Stegostoma tigrinum: one gene and its partners. The protein of the gene in region 4 interacts with the protein of the main gene of each other region in a biochemical or structural test. Links are inferred from orthologs where the notes say so. Each region holds a gene or a part of one and is shown on either strand. Other genes may lie near its edges.

The links.
Region 1: the proteins of receptor tyrosine-protein kinase erbB-4-like (region 4) and abl2 form a complex in vitro, tested with the Homo sapiens proteins (2 studies listed by BioGRID and IntAct, with this or other methods). The link is inferred for Stegostoma tigrinum from reciprocal best matches to the Homo sapiens genes ERBB4 and ABL2.
Region 2: the proteins of receptor tyrosine-protein kinase erbB-4-like (region 4) and pro-neuregulin-2, membrane-bound isoform form a complex in vitro, tested with the Homo sapiens proteins (2 studies listed by BioGRID). The link is inferred for Stegostoma tigrinum from reciprocal best matches to the Homo sapiens genes ERBB4 and NRG2.
Region 3: the proteins of receptor tyrosine-protein kinase erbB-4-like (region 4) and nrg1 form a complex in vitro, tested with the Homo sapiens proteins (2 studies listed by BioGRID and IntAct, with this or other methods). The link is inferred for Stegostoma tigrinum from reciprocal best matches to the Homo sapiens genes ERBB4 and NRG1.

What each region holds. Positions count from the first base shown.
Region 1 is NC_081361.1:43,180,119-43,187,244, reverse strand, and holds the start of abl2 (tyrosine-protein kinase ABL2), read right to left. Parts: upstream 3,023-7,126; 5' UTR 2,537-3,022; coding exon 2,365-2,536; intron 1-2,364. UniProt on the Homo sapiens protein: Non-receptor tyrosine-protein kinase that plays an ABL1-overlapping role in key processes linked to cell growth and survival such as cytoskeleton remodeling in response to extracellular stimuli, cell motility and adhesion and receptor endocytosis.
Region 2 is NC_081366.1:39,056,927-39,063,803, reverse strand, and holds the start of pro-neuregulin-2, membrane-bound isoform, read right to left. Parts: upstream 3,007-6,877; 5' UTR 2,994-3,006; coding exon of another isoform or gene 2,894-2,993; 5' UTR 2,797-2,893; coding exon of another isoform or gene 2,683-2,796; 5' UTR 2,404-2,682; coding exon 1,998-2,403; intron 1-1,997. UniProt on the Homo sapiens protein: Direct ligand for ERBB3 and ERBB4 tyrosine kinase receptors. Concomitantly recruits ERBB1 and ERBB2 coreceptors, resulting in ligand-stimulated tyrosine phosphorylation and activation of the ERBB receptors.
Region 3 is NC_081354.1:13,474,147-13,481,126, forward strand, and holds the start of nrg1 (pro-neuregulin-1, membrane-bound isoform), read left to right. Parts: upstream 1-3,961; 5' UTR 3,962-4,078; coding exon 4,079-4,718; intron 4,719-4,965; exon of another isoform or gene 4,966-4,987; intron 4,988-6,980. UniProt on the Homo sapiens protein: Direct ligand for ERBB3 and ERBB4 tyrosine kinase receptors. Concomitantly recruits ERBB1 and ERBB2 coreceptors, resulting in ligand-stimulated tyrosine phosphorylation and activation of the ERBB receptors.
Region 4 is NC_081360.1:9,781,267-9,789,148, forward strand, and holds the start of receptor tyrosine-protein kinase erbB-4-like, read right to left. Parts: upstream 3,017-7,882; 5' UTR 2,709-3,016; coding exon 2,633-2,708; intron 1-2,632. UniProt on the Homo sapiens protein: Tyrosine-protein kinase that plays an essential role as cell surface receptor for neuregulins and EGF family members and regulates development of the heart, the central nervous system and the mammary gland, gene transcription, cell proliferation, differentiation, migration and apoptosis.

The DNA of each region.
Region 1 (7,126 bases), on a different chromosome or scaffold from region 4:
TGAGGTTCCAATTACAGTCTCGACCAAATACAGAATGCATGTTTTACGAAGGTCATCAACTACCCTATTGCTGACGCTCAATCAAATGCAACAACACACATTACTACTATAATCCTCCACACAACACCTATCCTCAATCCTGATAAAGGGTATAAACCCAAAATGTGTTCCTGCTCCTCCAATGCTGATTGATCTGTGTTACTCCAGCTCTACACTGTATTGACCAATCCTCTGGCTTCCCATCTTTGTTAACATAACTCTACCATACATTCACCAAATGATGAAAGGTTGGCGGAAACCATCCATACAGTAGCTCTCTAACTCCTCTGTGATGCTGACATGTTCAACCCAGATACAGCAAGGTTTCTACCTCAGCACTCATATGCAGCAACATTTCTGAGCAAGATCCACCAGCAAACATTTGAATCAAAGGAAGGGAAACATGGGACATCACTAACCAGTTTGTATCGACAAGCACTCGGTCGAATAGCAGGTTTTGAGTCAAGGTACAACTGGTCCTTTCAGTGCCAGCCAGGGTGGCCTGTATAGGCAATTTCCACTGCCCAGGAGTCAGTACAAAGTTGTTTTACACTTACGAAGCAAGGTAAATAACGTTGCACAAGACCAAAAATGTCTACTCTACAGGCTAAGCAGTGCACCAATAACCTTCAACTCAGCAAACAAGGCAACTATCAATTGACTTTGTGGTTTGATATTCAAAAAAATGATGGAGATTTGCAAGTAAGGTTGGTAGCCATTTAAAAGGGTGAAGAAGAAGAAATAGGGAATAAAATCAGACTTAAGAAATAAATATCTGAATAAATTAAATGAAATTCAGCAGCAAAATACCTAGGCACAAATATAAAATGCAATTCTGGATTGTTGTGATTCTGGGAATCTTCGATCCATATTGCTCTTTTAAAACTCAAATGCTTATTAATTTCAGTTCAAATGAAACTGAACCTCAACTATACATTTAGCCAGAGTTTATTACATCATTGAAAAAAAAATTGGATATTTCACAGGCTTCATGAAAACAATGGTTATTGCAAGGGAAGTGGACTTGTAAACCACAAACATCCACTGGACAGACTTAGCAAAATCCAGTAACATGCAATTCAAGACAGACCACTTGGTCTTTCTCCAAAATCACAATATCTGAACACCTGAATTCAGGTTCTTGAACAAACACAAGAAGCACTTGCTCTTTTCAGCTTTCACATCTATTTTCAGCTCATCACTCCAAAGCCACACTATGACGCAGCACAAATGCAATGAAATTACAGCATAAGGTGGATGCTAACTGTTCCACCTTAAAGCTAATCTCAGCCGCCCAGAAATCAACATTTTTTTAAAAATTACATCATGCAAAATTTAAAAAAACTTGTGAAGTACTCTTATCTCAATAATTCAAGGATGCTAACAAAATCTACAGAACAACTTGGATTGATTTTGCACATTTCACATCACACAATGTTCCAGAGTACGTAACCTAACATTTGGTAGAAAGCCAAAATAGGAAATATTCAAGCTGATGGTCATAAGTTTGGTGAAAGAGGTCAATGATAAGGAACATTGTAATGATGCAAACAGAAGCCCAAAGACAATGAAGTTTTGAACTTAAAGCCACGCAGTTCAGGGAATGATCAGGAAAGTAATCAAAGACATTCAACAGGTCAGAAATGCAGCAGGGATACTTTGGTCAGCGATGGGGCTGATGGGAACCAGTCACACGGGGAATAAAAAGTGATGGACGATCATTTTAAACTTGAGGCATTCTATAACTAGACATTCGAGTAGTCTGTAAGCACGAGCACTGGCACGACAATGAAACGTTAGGTCAAAGTACACCACAATCGTCAGGTCTTCAAGTAACAGTGGCATGGATGAGCTGATTCAGGGCAGAATGCAGCATTGCTAGTTGTGGAAACAGGTCATGATGACGACATGGTGGTGTGCGAATACCACTTTATACCACTGAAAATGTTACAAGGCATTTCAGACCACAACTTTAATCTATTGATTAAACCTTGATTTTCATGCAGCAGAAAATTACACTGATTTGTAATCCCGTATGCGTCCCAATACAAGCCCAAGTGAAATTGATGACCACCCAAAAGGTGCGATATGCAGATTTGGATTTGGAAATAAAATAATTATTCTCGGAACACGAACTGTGCTGATTTGGAAATCGCTGATATCACCTGAAGTGACCTACAGTAATGTTGATGAGAGATCTTATTGTTTCTCACCAACTGACGAACAGCAAAGCGAGAAAGTAATGGAATAAAAACAATGGGGAATGGATTTGCCTATATTTGTGCTATAGTTAAAGGATTTTATCCTGGTCCCTATGTGTCTTACCATGGTGACTGAAAATGTTACAGGCGGCTTCGTTACTCCTGGCTGCTGTGTCTCGCCTCTTGGCCCCATGTCCGGGCCTCGTTGTGCCAAGCCTACCCCTGCCGGGCTGGACTGCCTCCCCAACCGCACCAAAACCAGCAGCTCCGCCAACACGGGCCTGCTGCTGCCCCATCCCCGGTCTTTCCAAGAGCGTCCGTCCCGAATCCCGGTCTTTCGGAGCCTTTTCCTTTACATCCTCACTCGCTATGCACTCCCGCTTCTCGGCAGATTTATTGTGTCGCTCTCTGCCCCTACCCGGCCGGCTCGGCACGGCCCGGCTTCCTCTCCGCCTGATATATAGTCACAGGTTGGGGTCGCCGCCCGGTCCCCTTCCCTCGGGCTGAGAGGGGAAGGAGAGGGGTCGGGGGTTCTTGTCTCTTCAAAGCGAATGCAAAGCACCGTCCCTGCAGATACCGCGGCGGAAAAGAGAAAGGGGCGGGCGATCACTCTTCCTCAGCTCTGGCACAGCAGCCGCTCTCTCCGCCGACTCCGCATCCGCCCCCGTCCCCGCTGTCCGTTTGCAAACGCCTGTGCCCCAAGCCACAACGAGGCGTTCCATTCAGGCTCCTCCAAGATGGTCTTCCAAAAGTCCACACTGTCGCTGGTCCTCCAAGGCACTCCTCCGCCACTGGTCCTCCGAGATGGTCCTCCAAGACTCTCCTCCCTCACCGGTCCTCCAAGACACTCCACCGTCACTGGCCCTCCAAGACTCTCTGGCACTGATCTTCCGAGACTGTTCCCTGCTGCCGAACATCGAAAGAACCAGGTGCCAGTGTTTAAATTGATTTACCGACAGGAATGGATGTTTCTGAGTAAGAGAGGACTGACCACAGTTCTGAGAAGATAATATCGTCCTGCTGCTAAATCTAAACGATCGGTCGGAAGGGTTTGGAGTCAGAGGAGGGAAGCCTAAGCTGAATACTCACCTTTTCATTGGGATCACAAGACTAATCAGAGACATTACTGTTGTCCAAATTTTCATTTAATGCAGCTAACTGACAAACCTGCAGGAAACGTATCTTGATGGCACCTGATTCTCTTGGAATCATGTGTATCTGTTCATTAGACCTCATGTACAACATACACAGAACTTTTACTGAACTTCAAATTGATCAATATTGAATTAGGCATGACTTGGAAAGTCCTCTCCACGGTACATTGGTGAGTAAAATCAGTGTTGAATGAAACCAGCTAATTCCTACAAGAAAAAGCTGTTACCATGAATAATAGAGCCAGATATTCCCCCGAGAGCTAGTTGCATAACATAAGCTCCCCATTTAATGCAGCGAAAATGAATTGACCAGGGTTTGTAAGTTTTTAAACTGTTGATGACATCATATTTCCAATGTATATTTCTTTTTCATGTTCCAAAGAAACAATAATTTTCAGATTCAAAATTATAGCCAAATCTAAAGATCAAGGAAAAGGCACAGAAATTGTTGTACAAGATGGCCGTAGTCAGAATTACAAGGAGGGGGGTGATGTTTTCCATTTTCTATTGCGCACTGAATTGTCATCAGGTCTAGTTTTTATTTCTAAAGTGGACCCAATGGTGTCAGCATAATTTTGAATAGATTAGATTAGATTAGATTCCCTGCAGTGTGGAGACAGGCCCTTCAGCCCAACAAGTCCACACCGCCCCTTGAAGTATCCCACCCAGGCCCACCCCCCTATAACCCACACACCCCTGAACACTACGGGCAATTTAGCATGGCCGATCCATCTAGCCTGCACATCTTTGGACTGTGGGAGGAAACCGGAGCACCTGGAGGAAATCCACGCAGACACAGGGAGAATGTGCAAACTCCACACAGACAGTCACCCGAAGCTGGAATCGAACCCAGGTTCCTGGCGCTGTGAGGCTGCAGGGCTAACCACTGAGTCACTGTGCCGCCCTAATGTCCTAATAACACAGTACAAGAAGACATAATTCAGTATAAGACCAAAGCATAAAAATCTAGAAGGTGCAACATTTAAGTTCCTGGCTTGCAATGAGATAGCAAAGCGCTTCCCAAATGCTTCCCTCTGTGACACCACATAGAGGTTTTGTGATGACGCCTTTGTGTGAATTGTAAAGCCAAGCAGCAGGGAGGATATTTGGATGGAAGAAAGAAGCAAAATATTTGATCTTTGGGGATTTCTAACAACTTACTTTTTCACTGGCTTTTTTAATAATCAAAAACCAGATGCCGAAGACCAGGTAATTAGGCCTTGCCAACCACAGAAGTATGTGAAGAATGAAAGAGGATTCACAGCTGTTAACATTCGGTCAGAGCTGCAAGGGGAAGGCACCACTGACATGGAGCTCGCAATTCCAGAATTTCATCTTGCAGTCCACTGTTTGAGAATTTCTGATTTAGCATAACCCAGCAGAGAAGCAGCTCGACTCCTGCTGTTGACATCAGTACTTCTGGTCTAAAGAATATACAAGTCAGCCAAGATTCTTGAACCAGGGAGAAATGGTTTGCTGAAGCAGTGACAGTTTGCTTAATTGTCAATCCAAGAACACAGCTATTTATTGCTCAGATTGAACACTTACTTGCATCAGTAATATATCAGTTTGTTTTTGACGGAGTAGACTTTCTTAACAGTTGAACAAAATCAGTGAATCAGCAATTACTATCTGAGCCAGTGATGAAGGGTCTAGGCCCGAAACATCAGCTTTTGTGCTCCTGAGATGCTGCTTGGCCTGCTGTGTTCATCCAGCTCCACACTTAGTTATCTTGGATTCTCCAGCATCTGCAGTTCCCATTATGTCTATTATCAGAGAAAAAGAAATGTTAGATTAAGAATGAATGAAAAAGGATTGGAAAAGGAAGAAAACACGAAGTTTTGAAACCAAAGAAGAAGAATTTGCTTTCAGTAAGATCGAGAGTCAACAGTCTGAATTGCTTTCTTTCTGGGCTAGAGAGATTAATTGGTCTTGCATCAACAATTATCATGCCATTAAAAGAACATTTAGACTATTAAGTTCAAACCCAAGCTTTCTTTGGTGCATCCAATGTTCAATTAATGCAGAAATCCATTGTTAAAAACACTAGACAGTAACAGGATGGTTAAACTGCTGTCTGTAAGAAGCAAATCAACCACAAGTTTATGGAGATTTGCAATGTATTGCACAACTTTCTGCGGTGGAACCTGCAGCTCAAATTGTGCATGAATAAAAGTGTGCATCGTGAATTCACTGTTTCAGAAAGATTCGGCCCAGCATATTTTAAGCATTTCCTGTTTTCTGGAACTGTGATTCACCTGTTCCTATACTTCCTTGTACAATGCTTGCACCCCTGTACACAAATCTCCTAACTAATGAAACATGATACTCAGGCACTCCTTCAGAATCAAGATCAAATTCCACTTTGGGGAGGGTCTGAGATTGCTGATAAATCCAAAGTGTGATCTGGAGATCCTACACATTCAAGGCAGTTGGCACTTGAAGGTCAGGTTGTTGAGTTGATGGAAGATTTGTGCATTCTGTTCAGTGCCTTGATTTTATATTCCTGACAACCAGTCGGTTGGTTGGTCACAAGCCAGGGATGCCCATGGGATTGTTTTGAAAATGTGATTTAAGAACCTCCTGAAAAAACTTCCATTGTCATAGGAGTATTAGTAGACTATAAACTTTGAGAGTCTGATGTTAGTTATGTGACCAACAAGTTCTGCCCAGGGGAGCTAGTTTTGCGTGATTAGTACTGTGATACCTGTGGAAATGTTGATTTGGAAGATACAGGTGCTGTTGAGCCACATTCCTTGCTGCTGGGTTTGGAGGATCTTGTGAAGGCACCTCAGATCATACATCTCCAGTGTTTAAGTTACATGATATAGCTTCTCCAAGTCCCTAAGGAGTGTGGGGATAACTACTGCATGTAAAATGTGGCCTTAATACCTTTTAAATGTTGTAATTGTACCCACCTCCACGACCTCCTCTGACAGCTCATTCCACGCATGCATCACTGTCTGCAGGAAAAAGTTGCCCCTCAGGTCCCTTTTAAGTCTTTCCCCTCTCACCTTAAACCTATGTCCTCTAGTTTTGGACTCCCCTACCTCATGAAAAAGATCTTACCTATTCACCCATCCATGCCCCTCGTGATTTTATAAACCTCTATAAGGTCACCCCTCAGCCTCTGACACTCCAGAGGGAAAAAAGCTTCAGCCTGTTCACCCTCTCCCCATCACTCAAACCCTCCAATCCTGGCAATATCCTTGTAAATCTTTTCTGAACTCTTTGAAGTTTAACAACATTTTTCCTGTAGTAGGGTGACCAGAAGTGAACACAGTTTTCAGAAAGTGGCCTCGTCAATGTCCTGTACAGCTGCAACATCACGTCCCAAATGCTATACTCAACTCACCGGTCAATGAAGGCAAGTGTGCCAGATGTTTTCTTCAACACTCTGTCTACCTACAACTCCACTTTCAAGGAACTATAGACCTGCCCCTCAGGGTCTGTTTGTTCGGCAACTCTCCCCATGGTCCTACTGTCAACTACATAAATCCTGCCCGGGTTTGCCTTACCAAAGCGATACCTTACATTTCCCTAAATTAAACTCCATCTGCCACTCCTTGGACCATTGGTCTATTTGATGAAGGTCCTGAGGTAACCTTCTTCACTATCCACTGCACCATCAGCCTTGGTGTCATCAGCAAAGATACTAATCATACCTCCTATATTCATATCCAGATCATTTTGTGAAGAGCAGAAGCCCAGCAAATACCTGTAAAACACAAA
Region 2 (6,877 bases), on a different chromosome or scaffold from region 4:
ACATTTCATCAAATGTTAAAATGAAAATGTCTGAAGTTATATTGTTAAGTAGAAAGTGGCAAAACCATCTGATTTGTACATTGTATTCCATCAGCAAATATGATGTTCTAAAGCTATTTAATATTTCAGCATCATCTATCTTAATTTGACAAGCTTGAGCTAATTATCACAATGCAAGTAAAAAGTGTCTAATAATTATCTGAGCACTGAATAAAGATTTCTGTGGATCTCCTTTACGTCACAACAAACCTGATATAAATTCTTAAGCTGTAAAACTACACAAGACTATGTGGAAGTAAGTCTTTGAGATGTATAATAGCATATTATTACTAATACCAGGAAATTTGACAACTAACATTAGAAAATTTGACTCTACATCAACAGTCGCAATGACAACTTGAACAGAAAAATGTGAACTTTAGTGTACTAAGGGCTACATTTATAGACTACATACCAACATAAATAGTTAATGATTGCATATACTTCACATTCATTGGCTAAGCATAAGCAACATTTGTACGTACCACAGTAATCCAAAATGAAGTCAGTATCACTCACATCAATAGATTTTCGACTTCCAGGTTTTCTTTAAACACAAGAAAAATGTTATAGCTGAGCTATTACAAAAAGAGACGGCCTGCATGGCAAGCATGCATTTAATAGTTGGAAAATAACCTAATGCAACCAAGAGGTTTATCCAATACAAAAGATCACAGAAAACTTGAGTTTCCCGTGATAGAAGTTAGGAAACTACATTCTGGCAGTCTTCATAACACTCACATATTTCCAGCCTGTTATAACCCAAAATGGGTCATCTGAACAACGTGGTAAGTTTTAGAGGTGATTGATGTACTGTTTGACAAAATAAAGCATCCCTCTAAGATGTTAATACCGTTCACTGAGTGCCATGGGTACCTAGTATAATGATAACGTTAAGTGCAATCGGTTGGCTTTTAAAGCCAACCTTAGATTGACCTAAATGGTTCCCTCTAAGTGTTTCTGCTCCATTTTGTTATTTTATGTGCCAAAACGATTCCCTAAAAAGTAACACAAAAGAACATTTCGTAAAATAAAATGTTAAGATAAGCTTCACAAACATAACGAAGAGTGCGAGCTAAAATAAATCTTGCTCCCAAGAACGACCATAAATGTACACGTGAAAGAGGAGACTGGTAAAAATACAAGGCAATCGCTCTCAGACCAAAACTGCAAACTGTCCGAGTGCAACCTTTCTCTTGCCATGTAAGAGGCTGCAACGAAACATCCCAAAAATGCTTTTATGATGTCGAATTACACCGCACTAAACTAAACCAATAAAGCAGAATTGCAGCAAGATTCCCCCAGCCGTTGTCCAATAGCTGGTGACTGTTTTGCCGACCACCAATTGCTAATTACCTACGGCTACTGATAAGCTATTTGAAATGCTTACGGTCTGTTTAGCGCTCCTGAGCCACCCACCTGCATAATAATAAACAACGGATACAAACACCAGATGCAGTTTGTTGACAAGCTAATTCAGAAACCTCGCGGGCTGCAGCTCACACGGCGTTCTTCAAAAAGGTATCGAAAAACCATGCGTCATTCACTACAAAACTTAGCACATCGAAAACTAGCCTTTCTTTAAAATGCTAAAGCAGAAAATACAGGTAGGTATTTGTGCACACTTTTCCAAGCCAATCCTTCATATGAAGTCTTCCACGAGCATCAGATCTCAAGATCGTAGAGGCAGGGACCAAAGTACAGAAAGGAAATAGTGCTGAAGTTTTGATGTAGTCATTAAAATGACATTATCCAAACACGCAGAATTGATATCGAAAACGTCCGCAAACACAAAGCTCCTTCTCATAGCCCCAATAATCATTTCATCCTGAATCAATGTGGGTTACAATGGAGGTTACAATAACCTGCAAACACTTCAACATGCAATTCCAACTGTCATAGCGCAATAAAGAAATTCCAACCCTATTAGCAAAATACGAGGGGGGGAAATAACTTACCGCAGTCCTCACACAAGATCCTCCCAATATCTTTTTTTAGATTCTTTCCGCCTGTGTCTAGTGGAGCAAATGATGTCTTGAATACTAACGGCTCATCTGTTGGCTCCATGAAAAAGATATATTTCTGGTTCTTCTTTACTTTGATGCATGGTGTTTCTGATCCAAAGTCCCCGATCGTGACAAGCTGATCCCTCGCTAGACCCCCGCTATGAACTGGCCACACGTCCAACACTTTGACATTAATACTGTAAGGCTCGGTGGTATGATTTGGGACTGACTGCACTTTGCCTTCGATCACCACCGCTGAACGATAGGCTTGGTCCTGCAAAGAATTTAAGCTCGGGGAATAGCAGGCAAACGACACCCCCGCGACCAGCATGGCAAAATGGACAGCACCAAGCCCCATGGTTGAAAGGCACGGCCGCGCTCGGCTGCACTGAGGTGTAGAGCGGCGCTGAGTTGGAAGGCAGAGTTGTGACAAAGTGGGCTGCAAATCGCCTCGAGTTGCACGGCTGAGCAAGAGACCTTGCGTAAGTGTTCATGGCATTTGGCTGTTTGCATGGGGAAACACCGCTCGGAAGCGGAAACGGCGTAATACAGTACTGCTGCCTAAACCTGTCACTGCAACGACTGGCAAATATCAACAAAATCCACTTTGTTTATTAAATGAACACAAAGCACTTACCGTCATTCGGTAACAGCAGCGGCTCCATCGCATTATGTGTCATCCAACAGGCGCAGTCTTCTGCATCCCACTGAGATCCCGAACACCTAACACATCGCCTTATGCTTTCCAGTTCTATTAACGAAGTTCATACGATGTTAATAATGCTGTCGCTATAGTAACTAAACTGAAAACTAGTTGCCGAGAACAGCAGCTTGTATGTTCCACAAACCTATCCCTCCATTCAGTGGCAGCCAATGGTTTCTGTGTACATTACATTGGGGTTTTGCAGTCGAGAGCTCGCCCTGCAGCTCTGCATAGACACATTTCATTTCCCACGAAGGTAGCCTGCTTCAAAGGCTTTGCTATAGAAACGGTTAACTGATCATTCTCTGGAAGGCAGAGGCATGAAAAAACAAGCGTTTAATAATTTGAGCGCGGGTCCCAACAAGGGCCAGTACCTCCTCACATTCAGTGAGTCTTTATTCTCACACATGTATATATATATCTCTCTCTCTCCTCTCGCTTTGATCTATTCACAACTTGGCTGCATTCCGATCACATCCACTTTGTGCTACAGACCGCTGGGTATGAGAATCCTCGCTGCTGCCTGCACACCTACTCTGAACAGAAACCGCGGTACTAGCGAAAGAAAACAACCTGAACAGGAATAGGAGGAGCGACAGAAGATGCAACAGAACATCCGCAAACCACAGGTACGGAGTATACTGTCACTGACCACGTGAAAGCACGGTCCACCCTTCTGTACAGGTGTTTGTGACTTTCCATGAACAGTATGCGTGTGTTCGTTCCATCTAAGATCACGCCTGTTTTAATCAGAAGTCGTATTTCTGCGTGTACTGTTGAGTACCACAGTGTAGTCAGGAGCTGAGGTCTGATACGTTCCACAGCACACGACTGCGGACCACCAGTGAGGTATCCCTCGTCATGTACAGCGACTCCCAGCGTTTAGATTGAAATCGGCTTTTACGGCAAAATATTTCCTGCAAATTCTAAGCAGTCCGAAAAGCCTCTACCACACCCGCCTAAAACTTCTCAGTGTGTCGAGGCTTGATAAAGAGAGCTCTACTTTGTGCATACCTTCCCTAATACCAGCTCGTTGGCTCATTGTCCATTGGTGCTTCATCCTTAGACATTATTTTATTTCCGGAAAGGTTAGCCATCGCCTTCCGATCTCAGATGCAAAGTGAAGAGGTAGTTTCCAATGTCCCTGAGTCAGACCAGGAATTGGAACCTGAGCTGTTAGTGCCTTTTCTGCAGCACAGACTAGCTATCTAGACAAGCGACTCAGGCGACTCCCAAAGAAAGTCTGACAGAATTTATGAGTGTATTTTTCTGTGTGGCGTTCCATACTTTTGGTTTTACAGGGAGGAGGCAAAAGCGTGGGGCCGTTGCAGGCCTAAGATGGTATCTGCGGAGGCCACCCATATTTCTCACCGGGGCCATGTGGACACCATTCTAAATCAACCATTAGCCCAGGCCCTGGGTGAGTGCACCAGCAGACCGGTGAGGAGGCAAATTGTGACAGCAGTCAGCGTGTGGATTCTTCCGTAACACTGTACGGGGGAATTATCGTACAGGAGCATGGAGGACCCTTCCCTACTCTGACCAGCATGATTTAAATCAACTACTTTTCAACAGTCACTGCATGATTTCTGCTAGCTGTGGCTGTGTCAGTAGAGGTAAGAACACAAAGTGCTGGAGGCACTCAGTCGGTCAGTCAACATTTGTGAAGAAATAGAATTAATGGCTCAGATATTTGGATACCCAGAAAGTTGTTTGAGCAGTGTTGACAGCCCTCTCTGTTGTAACTCAAGGGAAATTGAAAATTCTGATGAGCAATTGCCCAGAAACAGGATCCCTTCAAAAAAAAGCATTAAAGTAGGAAACATCGAAGAAATCTGACTGGTTCTAAAGTTAGGTGATTAAAACCATACTCTAACGCCAGGGTAACAACGAAACTGATCTCTCCCCCACTCATCATTAAGTCAGAAGTCACACTATACCAGGTTAGAGTCCAACAGGTTTATTTTCATCAAAGGAGCAGCACTTGTGATTTCAAATAAACCTGTTGGACTATAACCTGTTGTCGTGTGATTTCTCATCTTGTCCACTCCAGTCAAACACTGGCACCCCCACATCACCACTCATCACAGACAGCCCTCAATTGCACCCCCCTTGACACCTTAATCCCTAAACCTGTGACAATCATCCCAAAACTACGCTCTTTCCCTGACCCCTTCCTGACACAGCCTGACAAAGCCTTTCTGGATAGCCTGACCTCTCCCTGGATCTGATACACCTGCTGACCTCACCTGCTGCCCCCAAAAGCATAAGACCCTCAGGCTTAACAACCCGTCTCACATATTGGACTTGACACTCCTCACTCCTGACCAAATCCTGGCCTGACTCAAAACTTCCCCTTCACAACCATACCCCAGCATCACCCTCAATAGAGACCCCCCTACACACACCAAGCTGACTGCTGAAAAAGGGAGCATTTTTAGATGAGGATCTTCTGCACAGCTGAATTGGTGGACCATGGACAGATTCATAACAGAAAGACCCTGTCAAGGAATAACAGGTTAAAGACAAATGGATTATTTTTAATCCAATAAGCATACCTGACTGGACTATTTAGGCCAATATTACAGGGTAATGACTGCTGAGTATTTCCAGCATTTTCTGATTTTATTTTCACATTTCTAGTAAATCATTTTTAAGTCTGTAGAAGTGTTTAGACCATATGGCAATAAGAAATAGGACCAGGAGTAGCCCATTCAGCCCCTCAAGACTGCTCCTAGTGCTACTCAAAGTCTGCAGGGATTGATGCTGCAAATAGTGGATGCTTGAGTTCACTTCAAAGGTTCCCCTCAGACCAGTTGCTCTCATTCATTGGTATTGTAGTTTCCATAGCCCTGGTCCTCAACATAACAGGGAGATTGAAAAGATATGACATTGAACAGGACAAGATGAATGAAAAGGGAGCAGAAGGAGGGGAAGGAGGATGCATAGCAGAAGTCCATATCTACCCAGGGTCTTCAGTGAGCAATTCTCCTATATCAAACTCAGAAAGGAACAGTCTCTGTTTCATTAAGGAGGCGAGTACTGAATTCTGCCACCTCTGACAGGCAGACATTCAACCTCAGAGTCTGAGTTCTGAAGAAGAGTCGTACTGGACTCAAAATGTACCCATTGTTCCTCTCTCCACAGATGTTGCCAGATCCACTGAGTTTCTGCACCATTTCTGTTGTTTGCTTTAGGGCATTGCCTGAAGATGTAAAGGTGACAATGGTCACCATGAGCTTCAGTACACTAGGTTTCTCCTAGTAAAAGCAGACAAAACAAGTGCATGATTTCACCCAGATAGACCCACAGTCCAGGTTTACAAGTATATGAAATATAGGAGAGTAGCTAAAGTAGATGCTGGTCTCTGAAAGACAGACGCAGGAGAAATAAATCAGGGAAATGAAAAAAATGGCAGAATCATTAAACAACTAATTTGTGTCTGTCTTTACAGCAGAAGATATAAATTACAGATGAGCAGTAAAAGGTAACCAAGGAGTTAATGATATTAAGGAAGGCAATTAATATCAGCAAAAAAGTAATATTAGATTAGATTCCCTACAGTGTGGAAACAGGCCCTTTGGCCCAACAAGTTCACACTGCCCCGTGGAGCATCCCACCCAGACCCATCCCCCGATAACCCTCACATCCTGAACACTATGGGCAATTTAGTATGGCCAATCCATCTAGCCTGCACATCTTTGGACTGTGGGAGGAAACCCACGCAGACATGGGGAGAATGTGCAAACTCCACACAGACAGTTACCTGAGGCTGGAATTGAACCCGGGTTCCTGGCGCTGTGAGGCTGCGGTGCTAACCACTGAGCCACCGCGCCACCCATATGGGAGAAAAAATTTTGAAAACTAGATAAAGGGGAAACTGTAGCTATAGTGTACTTGGATTTCCAAAAAGGCATATAGTACAGCATATGATAATTAAAAGATTCACATAAACTAAAGATTAGATAACACTTAGGGATAATACATCAGTGTGGATAGACGGACTAGTTTAATAACAAGAAGACAGGGAATGAACAGAGCATTTTCAATCATATGTACTGTGACTAGTGGAGTACAACAAGAATCAATTCTGGGGTCTCATCTATCTACCATCTTCCATTAGTCAGAT
Region 3 (6,980 bases), on a different chromosome or scaffold from region 4:
GCGAGTAAATCATATCCTAACTCTCTAAAGCTTGTCCATTATCCACAAGGTACAAATCAGGATTGTGATGGAACATTCCCCACTTGCATGGATGAGGGTAGATCTAACAACACTCAAGAAGCTAAACAAAAAAAACCCTAAGTACCAAGGATGCTGGAAATCAGAAACAAAAACAGAAATTGTTGAAAAAACTCAGCAAGTCTGTGCAGAGAAAGCAGAGTTAATATTTTGGAAGTCCTATTAGAGCTTAAGTTCTGATACTCAGCTTTCTCTCTATGCTTGCTACCAGATCTGCTGAGTTTTTCCAGCAATTTCTTTTTTGCCTCAAGATGCTAACACCATTCAGGTCAAAGCAGCCTGCTCGATTGGCACTATATCTACAAATATCCACTCCTTCCACTACTAATGCTCAGTAGTACCAATGCAGGTCAACCATAAAATGCATTGCTAAAATTCATCACGGATCCTTGGACAGCACCTTCTATATGTTTGACTACTACCATCTAGAAGGACAAGGGGGCTACCAACTCCTGCAAATTCCCCTCCAAATAACTAACCCAACCTGACAGGAAGTATATCGCCGTTCCTTCGCTGTCATTGGGTAAAAATCGGGGACCTCCTCCCCCCCACCAATGGCTTTGTGGGTCAACTTACATGAAACAGACTGCAGCAGTTCAGGAAGGCAGCTCACCACATAGAGTTGGGCAATGATGCTGACCAAGTCAGTGATTTCCACATCCAAGAGTTCCTTATTTTTTTAAAAAATTGCAAGGGGCACCATGCAATCACAGTGGCTTTACAGACAGTGATGGCTATAGGACCTGGGTAACCGCTTCACGCTGAAAGTTTTCTTTTGTGTTGCAGCTTGGTGTCCCTGATATGAATTTTAAAGCCCTTGACTTGCTCGCTGCCCCACTCCCCTCAGTGAATGGCAAGCTAGGCAGCAAGGAGTTGCTCAGGAACAAGGGATACAACCATTATGATGGCAAGCAGAGCAGTGAACCAGAGAGGAAGAGACAGCAATAATAGGTGCACATTTTCTGGTACCCATTTCAGTGCAGTGCAGATACACCACATCAATGACACTATCTTCCTTTACAAGTGCATTGTCAGCACATCCACTATTTGGTGCCCATTTGGACGCAGCATAAAGATATAAGGAAACACTGGTAAAACAGTGTGTGGCAGTTTAAAACCTATTTCCAAATGACACGTCTCAGAGCTTTACATTTTGGTGTCAAATTTAACCTGTATTATTTATCTGCAATCGCAACATAGGACCTTGCTGCACAGACAATGAAGTTCCTTTGTGTGACACGTTCAAAAGACAATCTGTGCTCCCTTACACCCTCACCAAAATTATCTCTTTTAAAATCAAATCTTTCACATATCAACCAAAAATTAATATCCCAGAGAACGCAAATGTCTGGGTTCATGCAAATGAAGATTCCTGTGCTGCTTTTGCGCTGTCGTCCCTTTCCTAAGAACTCACGGAGGTGAACATTTTCCAAACTAATTTTCATAAATATTAATTCTTAGGTGCACACATTATTGGCCGGGTGAAATCTATTGTTGATTCCTCTCTGCCGGAAAAAGGCAATGTTGGGCTGTCTTCTTGACCTACTGATTGTAGTTTGTTATAACTGCTTGGTTTTCTGAGCCCCTTTAGGAACAATTTGTAGCTGCATTGATATGGGATCAGAGACACAAAAAGGTCAGACCAGGTGAGGATGGCTAAAAGATTACTTAGCCTAAGGGAGGAAGCTTTTCTTTTAATGTAGTGTGTAGTTTGGACCTTGAATGTTCCGCCTGTGAGCTGTTGGACGCAGGATGAATTCAGGTTATCATAAGAGAATTTATCTAAAGAAGAAGACACTGCAGGTTTGTGAGGAAATGACAGGGACTTAGATGAATTGCACCTTCTGAGGTCCAGCATTTACACAAGAAGCCAAATTTGTGCTGGAACCATTCTGTAATGCTACTCTACAGGGCAGTTTTATTTAGAAATGGGGGGGGGGGGACTAATTTAAAATGACACCGATTCTGTGACCATTATTAGAACTAAATTATGATTGTTTTAAATTTTTAAATTTGAATTAAAATTCCCAATTTGGAATTTGAACTTGTTCAATCGTGTTGGCTCCTATATACGTCTTCCATAAAGTGACATATTTCAGCTCTTTTGATGACAAGGGAATATCCTGCACAAAATCCATTTGGGATCAGGGCGCTGACACTTCGCAGGAGTTCTCCTGAGCTTGCATATTGAGTCATGTGATCTCTCCTGGTGTACCTTTGACCAATTTTGCTTTAAATCCCTCAGTACATTGCCTCTGTTAGGAAGTATTCCTGTGAAAAGCAGCGCACAGGAGTCACTCTGTTCTCTGACCTACTTTTCCTAACGTTGCTTCAGCACCAGTCCATTCCAGAAAGGACGGGAAACATTAATCCTTTTATTAATTTAGCACAGTGAGAAATGGGTTAGGGTATCCATGTGGTAAATTGCTCCCGTATTCATAGACTGTGCGTACAGCTCCATCTCTCAGCTCACCGTCCTCGACATTGGCAGAGTCCAGTTCATGCTGAGACTGTGTTGATCTGCTGTTAGATCTGTATTAATGACAGCCTTGGTGGAAGCCCGTCCTTGTCTCTCTGATGACAGTCTCACAGCACTCTTTCTATAATGTATGTGTCCTGTTTTTAAAATGCTTTCACTCACTCTCTCTATTTTCCGCAAATCACACTCACTGCCCAAGAAGTAATTGTCTTTCCATCTGCAATTTTATCTACTTTTAAAAAATATAAGCGAGGGGCATCACCGCCAGATTAATTAGGAGGAGGGGACTGAATTAAAGCTTTTCTGATACTGGAGTGATTTAAGAGAGTACCTCCCTGAGTCTGACACCTTAAGCCTGGATTTCTGTTAAATATCCCCCATACCCCCATCAAACTTATATGAGACGCAATGGAACTCCCGAAAGCCAGGCTTATCATGTGAAATATCTAAAGTTCGTTCCATCTGCCTGTGTTTAGCCCACCTTGAACCATCCACGCTTCAGTTGTTAGTCATCATTTGTGATGAAGCTGGATGTCGGGACGCCATCCGATCTGTGGGAGCGCATGAAGTGAAATTACTGGAGGAAATCCCATTCCCTTGAGAGGTTCAGCGTCTGCTCGTTCCACCAGCCTCTCTGTTCTGGCCCATACACTGCTGCTGTGTATTAGCATAATCAATTGCTGACTCGTCTACAGTAGCTAGGGAGGGGATGAAGCTGCCCTGCTGCCTGCCTTTTTTTTTCCTCTTATGGGATGGTTCATTCCTGGCTAATTGGATCAAGGAGGAAGTTGCAGGCTGTCTGTGCGGTTCTGAATGGTGCGTGCTGTGTGTGTGTGTCTGATTTCTGCAAGACCTGCCTTCCCCCAGTGTGTGTGTTTCTATATCTGTCTGTGTGTAGATGAAGGAGGAGGAAGTTCTGTTTGTCCTCTCCCTGTCTCTGCACCACCACTCCCCCTCCTCCCTTCCCACCCTCCCAGCTAATGACACCGCTGCCACACTGCGCTGAAAGCAGCGGGCACCTGGTACCGTTTGGTAATGACTCTAGCTTTGCTCTGGAGCAAGCCGCACAGTCACAGTGAGAACAGGATGCCGCGGCCTTGTATTTGTTTTTCCTGAAGGTGTGTGTGTGTGTGTGGTTGTGGGTGTGGGTGGAGTTTTTTTTTTCTTATTTTACCAATCCTCCCAGGTGAGAGAGAGAGATCAGGAGCGACTTTCAATCTAAAAAAAAATAAATGGCAGCTAACCTGAGCAAGCACAGCCAGAGATGACTTGAGCGTTTGTGCACTCACTGGAGAGACTGAGTGGACAAGGTGCAGAGCTGCTGAACCCCCACTGTTGCCCCCTCCCCCGCCCTCCTTTACCACCACCTCCTTCCCCCCCCCCCCCCCCCACACACACCCAGAGGACTGTCGCTGTCCATTTGATGCCTGGACACCTCGCTCGCCCTTGCTTCTCGCTCACTTCCCCTATTGTTACTCAAGAGGTTGCAGAGAACGGTGGCACCTTCAATGCACCGGGAGGATGTCAGAGGAAGGGAGTGAAAATTCTCCGGATCGCTACCCCCCTCCCTGCCTGACCCCGTCTACCGAAGACACTGCGGAGGATGCTCCCTCGGCAGGCCAGAATGGAGCGCTGGGGCTGAGCGGCCTCATTGCTACCTGCTGCATCTGCATGGAGGTGGAACACGTGCGGACTTGCTTAAACTCTGAGAAGATCTGCATCATACCCATCATGGCCTGTCTGGTGAGCCTGGGTCTTTGCATTGCTGGCCTCAAGTGGGTTTTTGTGGACAAGATATTTGAGTACGAACCTCTGACGCACCTTGATCCCAAGCGCATAGGGCAGGGTCCTATAATCTCTGCTGACCAAGCAACAGTGGCCGAATGGCCGCCACCATCAACTGCCTTTACCGCCACTTTTCCGATATCTGATTTGATCCAGACGGTGAACGATCCTGATGACCCTTTGGTGCTCCCCTCAACTCCTTATGCTAGCCCCTCTCCTCAGCCCCCAACCTCCTCTCCTTCCTTCCTACCCTCTGTCGTACTCGAATCTTTCTCCCCAGACCCTGTCGTCACCAAAAACCGCGAAGTGACAGAATCAGCGTTTGTAACCCTTCCCCAAATGACAGATACAAACCTCATTATCGCACCGGCGTTTAGTAAGTAACACATTCTTTTCCTTATAATTCTTGGTGGGGGAGGCGGGGTTTGTGGATGGGGAGGCAAATTCTCAGCCTGTTGTAATCTGCTACTTTAATGTTTAAACAGAACACTTTGTCTCTTAGAGAAAGCTATTTGGTCTGAATGTTTCCATTTGTCCTCAAGAGAAATGAGTTTTGCAAGGGATGGAATCCTCTTGACTTTCGTTCATGGTATCATCAACAGCACAAAGATTCTATTTCACATTCTCTTCAATATTTCGTTCAGGGTAAGGGGTTTGTTTACTTGGCTTAGATTTTGTCAACAAATGCAGACTTTCATAGGGGAAGTAGTGCAGAATCGCCTCTAAAATAACATCTGTATGAAAACAGTGCACTGGGAAATAGCTTTTGAAGTCACGGGCCCCCCATTGACAGAAGCCTGTTGTTTGTGTTTAATAATACCATAGGACTGTAGCTGGGCTACTGTTAGCATGTTTTGTAACCTTGTGAATCTTTGCTCCTGATTCTGCTGACTTACGATGTATTCCAAAAAAGCTTCCCATGCTTGATGCAAACTCTGGTTTTAAACAAAATCTTTGTTAATTTGTTTTCTGACCCTGCCATGAATAAAATCCAACCCATTTAAAAATTATACTCCCTATTTCATCACGAGCTGCTTTCAATTTAGTCCGAAACACCAGCTGGAGATTAATCAGAAAGGCAGTCTATATGTATATAATTTGTTCGGAATAATCAATATTTATTCTCTTGTAAAAGGATCTGTACTGTGCATGTATGTATTCTCTCCTGTGATTCTTTTTTGCCTGGTTCTGAGGTGAGCTTCAAGGTCAGTCACTGCTGTGAACTAATTGATTCCAGTCTATCCCAGAGACTTATAGAAAGACAATCTTGTTAATGTTGCCTTGTAGGTTGTCCACTTTGTACAATGACTTTGCAAGATTTTTTTTCTCTCTTATTAGTTTTTGGCTGCCTGCCAAACTTTTGATATTTCAGTATCCTCACTTGTTTAACTGGTTGCAATGGCACTTTTTCAATAACTTTAATGTTATTCTGGACCCAATGCACGTCCACACCTTTGCTGAAAATCTGAGAAATTATTTCCTGCCTGAGTAACTTTCTTTCACCATTGCTTTGCTGGCAGTTTTACTTATATTTGCATGCAGTTCTTTACCCTGGATATTTGAAGTCAAAATCAATTCAGAATATGAGCGCTTAAACAGAAGGACACAAAGCCAAGGAGTATGTACAGACAGCTGCAGCTAGCAGTTAGTCCTTCTTTCGTGGTATATATCTTTGCCTTTATCTGCTTTCATCTCAAGTGATGTAGTTTGCTTTAGAAGATGGTTCATGTGAAACTATTCAAGTCAAACAGTTCCCCACCTCCCCAAACAATTGCTTATTTTATTGCTATAAGTTGCTATTTATAAGTGTGCACATGGAGTTTTTTTTAAATGGATATTCTAATTGGCAGAAGAGCCAATAATCAGAAATTGTAGATTTAAATCGACTTTGGAACTACAGGTGATAAAAGGTACAATTTTTTTTCTCCGAATGGGTGGTTAGTTTCGATAAAACACTGCATGAGAATGTAGCAGTGGTCATGACTAGTTCTTCTCTGCCTTTCAACAGGGAATGGGATACTACTTGAAGGGAAAAATCTGGTTGGGTGACAGCAGAAAGGGGAATGATTGGAACACAACTTGCCACTGGCCTCCTTCTGAGTTGAGACCATTCTCATATTCTATACAATGTCACTGGAACTGGTTCATGATTTATCTCATTTCAGACAAGTTTAGGTATGAGACGATTAACCTAACCCTATGGCTGTCATCTTTTGTAGTTGATCTGAAATGATGCAACACCTGGATGAGGAAGGATAGTGGCTTGCAGTGAACTGCAATCCAGTTAGTGTTGCTAGCTCTCCAGATTGTCTCTGAAACCTCCAGGATTTAAAAATTAATCTGCAGGTCACACCTCTGAGGACGTCAGGAGAAAAAAAATCATTGAGACAGCAGGAAAATTTTCTTTGACCACTTTCATTTATCAGTGACAATTGGAATGTTTGGCGGAGAATCAAGAATCATCCAATCAGGAAATTAAACTGTTTAAGTGAAAGCAAAATACTGGGGATGTGAACCAAACACTGAGAATGCTGGAGAATCTCAGCAGGTCTGGCAGCCTTTGTGGCAAGAGAGAAGCAGAGTTAATGTTTTGAGTCCAGCGACCCTTGAAAAGGGAACAGGATAATTAGCTGAAAGG
Region 4 (7,882 bases):
ACACACAGGTTCCTCAATATCACCTCTCCCGCGGGAGTAGCTGGGGCGGGGGTGGGGGGTGGTGGGAAGTGGTGAGGGGAGAGGAAGGTGGTTTATCTGGAGACTGGTGGCCACATCAAAAGGTGGGGGTGGGCAGAGTAGATGAAAGGTGCAGGCAAGAGGATGGGGAGATGAAGTTATGTCAGTGCAGCACAGTGAAAGCAGTAAAAACAGCCTGTGCCAGACAGTTCGAAAGGCTGGGCTGCACTGACTCATTGAACAGACTGTTCACTGTGGCCAGTGCCCAGTTCAGCTTCCTGTTTGCCCCATTCAGGGATGGGTTTCACCCCCCCCCCCCCCCGTCCAATCCCACCACAGATTCCGTGAGCAAAAGCCACGCCAGGCCGTGGTGGCCCAACGGGAAAGCCCCGTTACCAGCCGATGCCCCAGCTCAATCCCGATCTGCATTTTAAAAGGGGACCTTCTTGCTCCCGCATCAAGCCTGGCAAGGCGTAACCCATCTCGTCTCAACACCCCCGCGGCTCTATCCCGAGCGTGCGGTCTCAAGGAGCAAGCCATTCCCCAGAAAAGGCCGCGTCCTAAACTATTCCTGCAGGACTTGCCGTCCAGACTGTCCCTGTGGGGGAGATGGAGGGTTGGGTGGGCAGGGGTTGAGGGGGGGTGTGTTACTCTTGAGAAGTTGGCGAGCAGAAATCCCACGGCCCATCTGAGTTGAAACCAGCATGGGACCCTGGTGTTTACCAGCCGCCAACAGTCCCACCTGAAACCTGCCAGGGGAACCTCTTATCTACCTCTCGTCCCCGCTGATCTACCCATCAAATCACGAATCGCTCCTCTCCTGGAAGGCGCTTCCAATGTTTCAGTGACGGTGCCCCTTTATCATCCGCGACTGTCAGATGCGCCAGTTGATGCTCTCTGAGCAAAGCCGCTTTCTCAGCGCCTGGAAACATCCATCAAGATCTCAAAGCGTGGACAATCACTTGGGACTGCATGGGGGCGGGGGTGGTGGAGGAGGCTGATGACACTCTCCCAGCACTTGTTCTACATTGACCGGTGTTGACAAGTGAACGCTTACTCAAATAAACAAACAAATCACCCTCGTCAAAACCCGTAACTTGCCCATGGCTGTCTGCCTGGTGGGGCGGCTCAAGCTGTTTGTAAAGCAAACCGACGAAGCTTCTGTTGTGCACGATAGGTCTGACACAGGTCCCCTTCCACTCAGCCCCCTCACCCACCCAAACCACCTCACCCAGTCTAAGGGAAGATCATTTTTCACGTCAAGCACTGGGCAGTGCCGGGGTGAGGGTGGGGGGGGGGGGGGGTGGTGGTGGCGTGGGCGAGGGCGGAGGAAGTAGAGGGAAGACAGCCACAGTTTGGGCGAGAATGGTCAAGGCGAGGGGAAGGGTAAGCCGTGGGCAGCGTGTTCTTCTGGAGACGAGATGTTCAGCACTGTGTCTTGTACTGTGTGTGTGTCTGAGAAAGAGAGAGACTGTCATCTCTGGACTGTATTGCGTTGGCTTTTCTTCATCCTGACTGGGATCAGGCACAACAGCTGAGACAGAAAGGCTGAAAGAGATGGGGGCTAACTTTGCAGCTTTTCCCGGCTGAGGACAAAACAGGCTTGGGGATCTCTGATGTACTCCCCAACTCCTCTGGTTGTAATGTGCGCGCCCACTCCCATCTCATTCACTGAGGCTGGATGAACAATACACAAAAACTCTCCGCTTGTAACGACTGCCCGATCTTACGTGCGGGTCGAAAAAGCGCACAGCGACTCTCAGGTTCTCCCTTGTTTTTTTCTCTCGTTTAATGTGAACACGATGCAACCGAAGCCGCTGTTTCAACGAGCTCCAAAAGGCACGAAGGCGGCTTGGTGCCCGTCCAGCCACCCGTTCATCGTAACAGATCTCCCCCGGTCAGGTCATCCAAATGTAGCCGGACCCGACTTCAAAACACCCTGACAACTCACTTGGCCCCCCCATCGCATCGTTAAAAGTACTGCGCTCCCATCTAACTTCAAGCGTATCTAACAACGCAATGACAGGCTGTCTCTTTTTTTGTCTTTTAATTTGTTTAATCTCAAAGCAATTTAGTCGACGCTCCGTGGCATTTTGGTTTGGAGTTAACCCGGGTTCGTATCTCCCCACAATCTTAGACACAAGATACCGCAAAGTTCCCCGGCGGATTACAGCCGGCGTTCATACCACACTCTCAAGGCTACATGAGGCGCCCCGCTCCCCACATAACACGAACTGTCAGTTGCCTCCACATTAGATACTGTTACATGACTCAAAAGTTGCAAAACCCGTGAGGAACACTGAAGGTAAATTCACATTGTTGCTACACTTGTACGCCTCTTAGTAACCGCGGGGCGTGATTTTGTGTGGCACCAGAATAAAAACAATGCCTCTGCACAGACAACCATTTCAGACAGGAGCTAGGGCAATCGCAACGAAACTTTTCCCTCACACCCAACTTTGCCATGTCAATAATCGTGCCAGACAGACAACGCAGAGGAGGAAGGCGCTAACCGACACTAAACCGCACCCCCCCCCCCACTACAACCACCAACTACCAACCCTTTACACACGCACATATACACAAAAGCAAGAAAGGACAATGTGTCTCCTACCTGACTGTGAAATTACTTCCTGCACCTTCAACGTTGCACAGAAAACACTCACAAACAGAAGAGCGGCCAACTTCATTTTCTCCCAGTTATTTTTTTCTCTGGCCCCTCTCTCTGTGTTGGTACGGGAGCGGCTGTGTCAGACAGTCTGTGCATTCAAAGCAAAAAAAATTACATGACTACCACTGTATCCGCAGAAAGTGAGGGTTAACTTTTTTTGCTGTTGCTGCTGGGGGGTTTTTTGGGTTTGTTTGTAAGTTGCTCCCTCCTGTTGTCTCGGTGTTATGTTTTAAATTCAGAGCGCTGTTTCCGCGCTGGGGGTTCAGTGCTTCTGACCGGTCTATGTGCCAGGCTTGCTGCTCATTTTCTCTCTGTCTGTGCCCAGTGCAGCACTGCTGGATTGGTCGCTCTCGCCCAACAGAACCATGAACAAATTCCACTCCGGTGCCCCTCCCCGCCCCCCTATCAGCTTCATTGGCCACTTCACCAATCCGGCACCTGCCACCTCTCTAACCATTGGCTCCTCCGCACGTCCGTCAGGGAAAGTCGGCCACGCCCCACCACCTCCCCGCCTCCCGCCCCTCCAAAACACCCCACCCTCTCCAGGCAGGGCATTCAGGGATTTGTAGTTACAACTTTGTGACCATGCCATCGCTGCTACTTTCCGACTCGGAATTGTATAGGTGCTGACCGTTTTTTTAACCATGGTATAGTTTTGCGATGATCACTTCTCGGGATAATTGCCTGGTACATTGTGGAGATATGGGGACCTGTGCCCTGGGGAGAGAAGTCGTGGTGGAGGTGGGGGCGGGGGTTGGGTAGTCGTGGTGGGTTGGGATGCTACTCTAATCTGGGATTATGGGGTTGACTGAGCCCAAAAGCGTAACAAGTGTCGATCTTCGTTCGCATTCCTACAAACCTAGCCAGCTGCACAAACCGAGCAGTTTACAATCGTGTATTTTCACATCCCAGGCACAAATCATTCAGGTAACCCCAGCGTCCATTTGATTTACCATTCTGAATGTTATGCATTTGATTCCACACGGCGCATTCCCATGCATTCCCCGGACTTGCTGCATACAATGGCTATGTTCATTACTATGTGTGCATACCCAGAGTGTAGCCTTTTAGATCTGCATGCGGTCTCTCAACGCGTAACAAAAGCCCAGCATTTAATATACTGTCGTTTTAAACATTTCCCCGGAGAAGAACTTCAGCGTGGAACCCGAAAGATTCAGGGTTGACCCAAGTGACAAAACAAAAGTGTCTGGCGAGACAGCTCGCACACTTTTCAGACGCGCACTTTTTCTTGTGGCAAATTTCTCACAAGGCTTGGAAGCAAGCGATCGTTTGTAAACAGACGCAACGTGCCAGAAGGCGCAGTGCAATAAACACTCCCAATCGTGGACTTGCCATCTTCTGAATGTTTTTAACTGCAGACGATTTTACAACACACGCACGCTCAATATTTCATTGTTTGCTCCCTAAAGTGAGAAAATCGCAGGATGAACCGAATTAGAAACCAAAAGAAATTTTAAAAAACCCAAAACTACGCTTGTAAAGATAATTCGTGACAGTAGACGTTTTGTATTTTCCTCTCTTCCCCAGAAGTGTTATCACACACAACTGAGCGACATTACCTCACCAAAATCAGTGACTGTCTTTTTTTAAACGACTATCCGTTACCATTAAAAAAAAGGACCCCTGCGGTCACTTCGATATTTACATGCAAAGCTTGCTAAGGGCAATGCGAACCATCAGAAGTGACAACAGATGTTTTAGGAAAAAACTGAGAGCAGTAAATATTCACAACTGGGTTTTTTCTTTCAAAAAAAAGTGTCCCAGCCCGTGAGCAGTATAGGAGTTGGCGTTTCTGAGGAATTTTGCAAGTTTGGAGAATGCGTGTCGTCTCCATTAGACTTCTGCTGCATTCCAAGTGTGCCACCGACAGAAATGCTTCGCTCTTTTGACTTCGAATCTTGTACCCTGCATCGCAGTTTTACTTTACGGATATTGTCAATATGTCAGCGCTCCCTAGTGGTACGAGGGAATCTGAGGCAAATCGTATTCAAATCGCTGATTTAAAAAAACCCTTCGTTTTAATGACACCTTTATGATTTCTGAAAACCGCTTCAGCTTTTAATTTCCCAAGATGGCTCGGTTTTAATTTCTTCCCGGACTTTGCTCGATTTTATCTATCCAGAAATATTTGCAATCGTTTGCATTGTTTATTTTTGTTTTTTTCTCTCTGTGATTCTCGCAACATTTCCCGTGACCTTGAATTTAGCAAAATAAATGCGTATGAAATCTCCTATTTTAAACCTGAGGCAAATGAAAATATAATAACGTCTTGGGAGGTTTTGCATTTGGAAGTAGGGTTGTTCTGTGTCAAAGTCGGTGCCTTTACATGTTTCACGCACAAGCAATGTTCAGATTCTATTTGAACAATATTAACATTAGAGGCAAGAGTTTTGTTTTAGATGCATACATGGTGAAAGACGTCGCTATTTACAAAAAAGGTTTTCTCAAATGTTATTTAATTTTTGAATTGAAAATATTTCGGGCTCTGTCCATGTTTGTTTTCGTCCGGTTACTTTATTTACTTTTTACTATCAGCGTTTAGCTTTCCAGTTAACTGCTATTCCGAGGTGGCATTATAGCTCGCCTCCAAGGCAATAAATTCTCCGACGATTTCCAAATTTTCGATCACCAATAATGTCAGTAAGTGTGGATTTGTACAAGCTTATCATGACTGAGCATTGAGATCTGCTGTATTTTGGCTTCTGAATTTAAAAAAATCGACCAATTTTTAATGCTGGGGCGGCCTAATTTTGATTAAGTTTATTTGACCTCTTTTTCCCCATTTTTCAAGATTCTTCAGGCTCTGTCAATATTTGATTTTGACATTTTTCCTCACGTTCTCTTTGTGTCAAATTCATAATTAGGTTTGTTGTTTTGCAATTTCCTGGACTTTTTGAATTTCCAAGATTTGCTTAGGTTCACTAACATAAATATTTCCAAGCTCGATTCTTGCCCCCTTAATGTTTATGTGCTATTCTTTAAAACTATAAACTTTGTTGTATTTGTTACATCTTTCCAGGTCAGCTGTATGTTTGACGCGCCTGTTTTGATACTAATGAAGGCTAAACTACAATGTCAGTTTCATTTGCTACCGAGGCACTCTGTTTTTTTTCAGAAAAATATGTTTATAATTTTCGATTTCCTCAGATTTTGAAATTGGTTTCCACAGCTTTTGAGTGTTGCCGGTTTCCGGAACTGAGTGAACCTGGGTTTGGTGAATGAACAATGTGTTGGGTGGAGGAGGGCCGGGGAAAGACAGGGCGAGCAATCAATGACCAAACTGTTCATTCATGTCGGAGACGTTGAGTGCGAAACACGACGGGAACAATGGAGCAAGTATTCCAGAGACACCCTGTTGACGACGAAGCAACCAATGCTGAGTCCCTCATGCATTCAATGCTCATTATTGATCGCAGACTGACTGTTCCCAGCACGGACAGACATCATTTTGAGCAGGAGATGTTACAAATGCTCAGCGGCTCTAGCAGTATCTGTGGACAATTAACAAAGAAGAGTTCACTTTTCCTGACCTCTCTCGAGGACTGCACAGCCTGTAAAATTAACTCTTTGTAGCACTTATAAGAATCTAATTTCCATTTGGATGCATCCTTAAATACTGCTCCCAATACCTTCAGGCATATTCTTCATCCTTATCTTTGTCTATCAGTTAATCTCTTTTGAATGTTGGGCCCAATTGGAGAGATCCTGGCTTCAAAATCCACGATTTCGAAGAAAGAGAGCGCATTGTGTGACCGCACGCAGTATGGCCACTTTAGTATGGATCTATCCCAGCACAACTCAATTAATTAATTAATATTGTCATCGATAAGGCTTGTGAATGAAGTGCATTTTGATTGCATGCATAGAATGGTAAGATTGGACATCTCAGCTACAGTCCTGCAGACCCAGGCACCAGTTCCATGTGATCTGACCTCACAATGACATTGCCCCTTTTGCACATACTCAGTAACTATACCTAGAGTGAGGGTATAATTAACTCTAGAATTCTATTCAGTAGGATTGATGTGAGGAATCCTGTCTCCACGATAAGTATGGGCAAGGCTGACCTACAGGCCAACGGAGGTGCTAGGTCAGATCATAAAAGAAGCCAGCAGGTCTGCAGCAGCCAAGCAGTCTCTCTCTCTCTCTCTCTCTCTCTCTCGTTCAGTTCTCTGCAGTAAGCCACTTTAAGCCTGATGAAAGCCTCAGCAAATGCTGCAAGTTGGGACTTCAAATTGGACATGTCAGAGACCTTTCATAAGTGAACCTGTGACTCTTGCAAATCAGTGAAGGCATTTGGAAGAAGAAATCTTTGGATCAGAAGGAACCAACCCAAGAGATCTTGTGAAATTATACTGTGGAACTGTTTTCTAAATTTGCCCTCCATCCACGTGTGTCTCTTAACCCTGTTTATTTTTGTCTCTTGTATTTGTGTGTTTGTAAGAGAAAGTTTACAAGGGGTTTTGAGTTGTAATTTGAAGAGTTTTCTTAATTTAGTTGAATTGCTTATCTATAGCTAGAATCTAATCAGCTGTAATAATTAGTGACACTTACGAAGAATAGTACAGAACCTGGTCTGTGCTTTCTGTCAATCTGTGTCTAAAAATCAGGTAATGTGGATTATTTATATATTACTTTTCAAATCTTTAACTCTAGTGATGACTGCAGGAGGAGTGGGGTTTGATTTTCAGTGTGAATCACAACGACATGAGGAGCAACCTTTTTAGACATGAGAGTGATTAGTGTATGGAATGAACTGACAGAGAAAGTGGTGGATGCAGGTACAGGTACAACATTTAAAAGACATTTGGAAAAGTACATGAATAGGAAAAGTTTAGAGGGATATTGGCCAAACACAGTCAGCTGGGACTAGTTTAGTTTGGGAACACGGTCGACATGGAATAGTTGGACTGGAGGGTCTGTTTCCAAGTCGTATGACTCTAATAGTCAAATGCACCAAGGTGCTTGTCAGGACTGTTAGCTGAAGACATTTGCTTTGAACCACACAAAAATACAGGGCACCAAAAGCTTGATGAAATCACTTGTTTATTTGTAACAAGGAAGAAGGAGAGGGAGTTCGAGAGGCAGATGCTCAGGAAGAGGATTCTAAGGTTTTGGGCCCTACACACTTGGGAATCAAGACAAAACTGGAGAATATACTGGATTTTCACA